Linked DNA regions of Callithrix jacchus. The protein of the gene in region 2 purifies or fractionates together with the protein of the main gene of each other region. This does not show direct contact. Links are inferred from orthologs where the notes say so. Each region holds a gene or a part of one and is shown on either strand. Other genes may lie near its edges.

Region 1 (3,500 bases), on a different chromosome or scaffold from region 2:
CCTAGGCTGGTGATCCTAAAGCTTGGGTTTCTCCATCTCATTCCAATCCACATGTTTGGAACATGTGATTTGTTTTTTTCATTTTGGAAGCTATAGGGCATCCTTTGAGTCTCTAAAGACCCAAGAGAAGTTAAACCTTAAAGCTTTTGTATTAATCTATTTATGTGTAGCCAATTACTGCCAAATTTAGCAGTGTAAAACAGTACATGTTTACCATCTCATAGTTTCTGAGGGTCAGGAATCAAGGGCACCTTAGCTGGGTTATTCTGATTTAGAGTTTCCCATGGCAGTCAGAATGTTGGTAAGGGGTAGAGTCAGCTGAAAGCTTGCCTGCGCTAGAGGCTCTGCTTCCAAGCTCACTCACATGGCTGTTGGCAAGAGGCGTCAGTTCCTCACCACGGGAGCCTCTTCATAAGGCTGCTCATTGACATACCAGCTGGCTTCCACTATAGTAAGTGAGCTAAGAGAGAGACCACAATAGGTGCTGCAGTATCTCGTATAGCCTATCTAAGAAGTAGCATACCATTACTTGTGACATACTCTTTGGTTTATACATTCTGTGATATGAAGAGGGAGGCAGCTAGACAAGGGTGTGAATACCAAGAGGTAGAGATTATTGTGGGGGCACCTTGGAGGCTGGCTACCAAAGCCTTTGTTGGTAAATCTTATGGTTTTTTTTTTTTTTAAGTTAAAACATGCTTCAAAATGAGAAATTACAAAAGATGTGTGATGACAAGTCTTCTACCCCTGTCCCCTAGTTACCCCGTTCCCTTTCTTCCAGCCAACAATTATTTTTAACATCTTTTTTATACTTCCAGGGGGATTTTATACTGATACAAGGAAATGTACATAATATTTTTCCTCTTTTAACATGAAAGAATGCTATATGACTATTTTGCATCTTTCTTCACTTAATAATATAGCTTAAAAATGGTTCTGTATTGGTACATAATTATTTCCTTACCTTTTACAGCTGAATAGTATTTCACAGGGGTGTGGCAACATGGTTTACTTACCCCTTTCCCTATTTTTTGGTTATTCTAATCGTTGACTATTACAGTGACAGTATAGCTCATGTCCTGTGTGTGAGTAATGTCCATGAAGCCAATTCATGGAAGCAGAATTGCTGGTTCAAACATTAGGTGCAGTTATAGTTTTCATGGATAATTACCAAATTGCACTCCCCATGGATTGCACCAGTTCTCCTGGCAGCAGTATATGAGAGTATCTGTTTGCACATACTCTTACCTACACAGAGTATATATCAGACCTTTGAATCTTTGTTACTTTGACAGATAATTACACATGTGTGGTTTTAATTTGAATTCCTCTTATGAGTGAACTAAACATCTTTTCATATATTTAAAAGACATTTGTATTTCCTTTTCTGTGAATGGTCTGTTCATATTCTGGGCTTACTTGTCTGCTGGTGTTTTCCTTAGTGATCTATAGAAACTCATTATTAGAAATTTAGTCTTTTTTGGGGGTGGGGGGAAGTGGTTAATATATTTTATTTTTAACATATACGGTTATTATGTGTTTTACTTTTTTATTATTTTGAAACAATGCAGTATTCAACTTTGAAAAAAGTTGCAAGTGCTGTACTACAAAACTTTTTTTAGTAGCAGTTGAGAGTAAGCTGCTGGCATACTTCACCATCCCTATTTAGTGTGTATTCCCTTCAAATACAAACATTCCACAAAGCTTTCTACATAATCATAGTACAATCTTCAGAACTGTGAAACTGACACTAATGGTTTTATGATCATGCCTAGCAGTCTCTCTGCTTCTTTGACCCCAAAGGAGAGAAGCATAGACTCTGGAGGTAGACTCCCTGGGTTCAAATTCCAGCTCTGGGCCGAGCATGGTGACTCATGCCTATAATCCCAGCCCTTTGGGAGGCCAAGACCAGTGGATCACCTGAGGTCAGGAATTTGAGACCAGCCTGGCCAACATGGTGATACCCTGTCGCTACTAAAAATACAAAAAATTAGGTGAGTGTGGTGGCACACGCCTGTAATCCCAGCTACTTGGGAGGCTGAGGCAGGAGAATTGATTTAACCTGAGAGGTGGAGGTTGCAGTGAGCTGAGATTGCACCACTGCACTCCAGCCTGGGCAACAAGAGCAAAACTCCGTCACAAAAAAAAAGAAAATTCCGGCTCTGCCACTCACACTCGCTAGTTGTAGGTCTTTGGGCAAGTCACTCAATCCTACTCTTCCTCAATTTCCTTAGCTCTCACAAGGCATGATTGGATAATAATCATGCCTCCTTTACAGGTCATTGTGAAGATTACATGGTTAATGCTTAGAATAGTGGTTGGTACAATATGAAAGCCATGTCAGTGTGTTGCTATTATAATAATATTAGATGAAGAATAGTTGATATTAGATTAAGTCTAAATGTTTTCTAGCGGCCATGAATGAGGTTATCAGAGTTCATAGACTACAATGTAAGCTACGAATTATTCAGCTAACCCAGGATATATTTTTGTTCTTCTCTTTTTAGATTCCAGAATGACTACCATCTTGACTTACGCTTTTAAAAATCTTCATACTACATCAAAATGGGCCCTCAGATTTTGTAAGTTTATTATTATTTTTAATTATTTTTAGAGATTGGTTTTGGATTTATAAGCATCTTGCACAAATACTGAATGGTACTGCTTTTTGTAAACAGTTTATTTTGTCTTCCAGCCGTAAGACCTCTGAGCTGTTCCTCCCAGCTGCGAGCTGCCCCAGGTACAGTCATTTGTAAAATAAACATTTCTGATTTATGTTTAGATTCCAGATTCTGTAGTTCTTAAACTCTTAATAAAAACCAAAACTAATTTCCTAATTCTCCCCTTTTTATGATCAACATGAACATCTCTGTTGCCTTCAAATTAAAAAATTATAGGACCAATCAATAATGATACTACATTATTTAAGATTAGGCTTGAGGATGTTGACAGGCGGCTGCCTTCTGGGATTTGACTCTGCTGGAGTCGTGGAGGTTCCATAAAGCTCACTGGTCAGTTTATTTACCCTCTTGCTATCCGTCCTGGATATGAATGGCATACAAATGCTCTTGAGACCTGTTATGGAACCAAAAGTTAACTTTTTAAAATTTTATCTTTTAAAAAAATTTGCAATTAGAGAAATGCTTCTTTATTGATGAATATCTTTCTATCTGATAACTCATGCCTGTTGGGAAAAAAAGAAAAAACAAAACAAAACAAGAATATCTTCCTATCCCAGGTGCAAGAGGGCCCATTCCTAAAATAAAGGTGATTAGGGAACTAGTTAATAACAGATAGTTGTTTAGTTAATATGAAATGAAAGAGTAAGGAAATGTGTTGATTTTACGTCGTCATTTATACCCTCAGTAAACCCAGTGAGTTAGGCTTCTTTACTATAGATTTTTACAGCATCTGCTATATGTTTGTATCTTCACTGGCTGATGCTAAAAACACCCCAACAAATTCTTAACATTTTTCTCCTTGCCCAGATTCTATATTGA
Region 2 (3,500 bases):
GCAGGCAGTGGAGGAAGGGTGGCGGCAGGCTGCTGACACGGAGGTGCCTCAGAGTGGGGCAGGGACATGGACCCCCTCAGAGCCAGGAGGAAGCAGGCGGGAAGGGTGGGTGAGGGGTGGAAGGTCTTAGCAGGAGGGGGAAGGGGCAGGGCTGGTGGCATGCAGGGGCTGGAGCCAGGGCTTAGTGACGGTACGGAGAAACTGAGGCCCAGGATGGAGTAGAAGAGGTGAGTGGGGTCCCCACACTCGGGACAGACGCAAGGGCTAGGGAAGGCTCCTGATTTGGGCTCTAGGGACTCGCTCCCTGGGTCCAGCTGGGTAGGAGGAGGGAGGGTCCCAGAGGGTCCATGAGCGTCCCATGGGTCCCACACGGGGGTTGGGGGAGGGGGCTGAGCTTTGAGCGTCGATATTGAAGTTACAGAGAGGGAGCTTCTGAACCCACTGAAGCCCTGTGGAAATGGCCTTGGGGGGCTCCTGGTCCCTGGGGACGGCAGACCCTCCTGGGGACAGCAGACCCTCCTTGGAGCCTGGGAGGCCACAGCAGGTGTCCAGGAGCCAGAGAGGCAGAGACACTGAGACAAATCTCGGCCCAGCAGCAGCCGCTGTCGCTCATGGCCACACCAAGCCCTGCGGCCTTAGCGCTCCGCCACTCCTGTCTGCTCAGCCTGTGTCCGGAAGCTCCAGACCCGCCCAGTCACAGGGGCAGGACCTCAACCCAGGCCGCCCCAGACCCGCCTAGTCACAGGGGCAGGACCTCAGCCCAGGCCGCCTCCGCCCCAGACCCGCCCAGTCACAGGGGCAGGACCTCAGTCCAGGCTGTCTTCCTCCACTGAGTTCCTGTGTTTCTGATCAGAGGTCACTTCCTGGGGGCCCCCCGACCCCACACTGTCCCCATGGAGGTGCCTGATGCTCTGTGCCCAGACACATGGTGAGGCACGGCCCAGGGTTGAGTATGCAGCTCTGACACAGCAGTTGACGGGCTGTGAGGCCTGAGGGGTCACTCCCCGGGCCCCCAAAATCCTGGCCCAATATAAAGGGCTGAGTGGCGGCCACTCTGGGCAGGACCGGCCCTCTGCAGCTCTGTCCACAGTCCCAGTGTCTCAGCCCTTGAACTGAGTCCTCTGGCTCCAGGCCACCTGGTCCCTGGGGACGGCAGCCTGGGGCACTCGAGGAGCTGCAGGCTTGGCCCAGGCCTGTCTCTCTGCAGGCGCTCAAGAGAATCTACCAGGGACAGGAGCATCTGAGGGGCTGATGGGACAGGACTTCTGTCCCCAAATGCACATTGGTAATGGGCTGTGCACACCCCCAGCTGGGTGTCAAACCCTGCATATCCTGGCCTGAGGGCAGCCCCACACCCCAGTTGGAGCTTCAACCTAGCACCCCAGCCCTAAAGCACTAACTCCCCCACCTCCTCCTGCTAATCCCCCACCCTCTGCTTTGACAGCGTGCCTGTCCCCCCACGCCCAGCACCCTGCGATGCACTCACCATCGAAGCTGCGCAGCTGGGTGGCGAGCATGGCCTGCAGGGCTCGGCTGCTGTCCCGGAGCGAAGTCTCCAGCTCGGTGCGGCTGCGGTTGGCCAGGTTCTCTTCCATCTCACTGGTGCAGCAGGTGTAGCCCTGGGGGCAGATGCGCAGGTGCTCACCTGCGGGGAAAGGCCAGCGTGAGGGAGGGGCTGGGACTGAGTTGGGGGCCAGGCGGGCAACCTCACGCTCTCCTGGGCAGAAGGACGGCAGACCTGCCTGGGGGTGCGCTGGGTGAAGGCAGAAATGGTGGGGTGTGGGGGAGGAAAAGGCCTGGCCTGCGTCCCACAGCTCCTGCGCCTGACACTGGTGGGGCTTCCTCTGCAGGGCCGGACGTGCCCAAGGCACCTCCAGCCCCAGTGGGCAGTCCCAGCTTCCTATGTGCAAGGCAGGAGGAGCTAAGAGGCCCGACAGGCCCTCTTACCCTGGCCCATGGCTGAGGATGGGGAGGGAGGAAGGAATCCAATCCCCCTGCCTTCCCACACCAGCCCTGGGAGGCACCACGCCCCCACTGCAAGGCAGCTGACCCCACCAACAGTGGGCGGCCAGAGGCGGCAGCCCCAAAGGACCCCAGGCACAAGTTTGGTGGGGGGGGGACAGGTGTGCCCTGGTGCAGGTGGCAGGCCCCACGAAGGGGACACTGGAACAGGGCACACCCTGTGTGTCCTGGTGTCCTTGTGGAGTCCCCTCCTCTGCAGCCTGCCCTGGGCTGCTCTGCTCCAGCGACCTGGCAATGGTGCCATCAGAGGCAGCCTCACCTCCTCGTGGGGAGTGGGTACAGGCTTTGAGTCAACCCTCGGCCCTGCTGCGCACAGCTCAGGACCCTTCGGTGCCCGCCACAGGTGACACGTGTGTGCATCAGGAAAAGCTGCACATTTAAAAGGGTGTGCATCTCGCTGTGACGAGGCTGCTGCCCTTTGATTAGCCAGGAACCTGGGGCTTAGAGATGAGGTCTGTTGTCCCATCTCTATGGGTGGCACACGGCTCTGGCTGCCTGAGCCCAGAACCCCACACTCACTAGGCCACACTGACCCCTGTGGGCCTCACCCCCCACCTCCGAGGCCCTCCTGGTGCTGGCCTGGGTCAGGCACAGTGGAGAGGTGGAGGCAGGAGCCTCGTTTGGTCACAGGAGGGCCAAGGGGGAGTCAGCAGGAATTCCAGAAACGCTCCTCAGGACTGCTGCCTTGGGCCAGGGCTAGGGCCTGAGAGCCTGTCCCATCCCGTCCTGGACCCTGGCCCAGGCTGGCTGGAATGCAGCAGGCCCTACACGCTTCTACTCCTGCCTGCGGGTCAGCCGGAAGGGAACGCCAGGCCAGGGAGGAGAGGCAGGTCAGGCTGGGCTGAGGCCCTTGGCCTGAGGCTGTCCTGGGGAGCTGGCAGCACCATGGGATGGGGGACCGGGGATCTGCGGCCCTAGTGCAGGTGGGGCCTGGAGCAGCCTGGGGCCCAGGCAGCCCTTCCCCACCAGAAACCATCTGGTGTGGGGACCTAGGTAACTGCCCAGAGAGCAAATGCCTGGGTTAGACTGAGTCTGCTGATCTTTCACACCCCCAAGCACACAGCCAGGGAGGAGGCTGAGACTGCAGGAGGGAACAGAGAGCCCGAGTCTGGGCTTGGGTGGCTGCCGCTTGGCCCCTTGGTAGCCTCTGCACCTGCTGATGAGACATCACCCAGATGAGCTGTCAGAGGGGCCTGGGAGAGCGAGGGGGGGGGTCGAGGCGCAAGGACAGCCCCTCCCCAACCACAGCCCAGCTTTTTGAGTTGGGGTCTTATCCTGGAGGGTTCCCTTCTCGTCCTCTTTTCCTCGTCTGAATTCTGGAATATCCTGGATGCAGGGGGCTGTGGCTTGAGTGGGAGGGAGCCCTCGTTAGGGGCTGCACATCCAGGGAATCCCTGGGGCTTGGACTTCAGTTCCTATGCAGCAGACCGAGCGAGCTTGGCAAGTGCACCTGTACCTCGAACCCCCTTCCCCCTGAT

The links.
Region 1: the proteins of GPC1 (region 2) and HADHB purify together in Homo sapiens (co-immunoprecipitation; 3 studies listed by BioGRID and IntAct, counting the BioPlex papers as one, with this or other methods). This does not show direct contact. The link is inferred for Callithrix jacchus from reciprocal best matches to the Homo sapiens genes GPC1 and HADHB.

Annotation. Positions count from the first base shown.
Region 1 is NC_133515.1:89,130,281-89,133,780, forward strand, and holds part of HADHB (trifunctional enzyme subunit beta, mitochondrial), read left to right. Parts: intron 1-2,507; 5' UTR 2,508-2,515; coding exon 2,516-2,582; intron 2,583-2,695; coding exon 2,696-2,740; intron 2,741-3,500. UniProt on the Homo sapiens protein: Mitochondrial trifunctional enzyme catalyzes the last three of the four reactions of the mitochondrial beta-oxidation pathway.
Region 2 is NC_133507.1:161,741,570-161,745,069, reverse strand, and holds part of GPC1 (glypican-1), read right to left. Parts: intron 1,646-3,500; coding exon 1,487-1,645; intron 1-1,486. UniProt on the Homo sapiens protein: Cell surface proteoglycan that bears heparan sulfate. Binds, via the heparan sulfate side chains, alpha-4 (V) collagen and participates in Schwann cell myelination.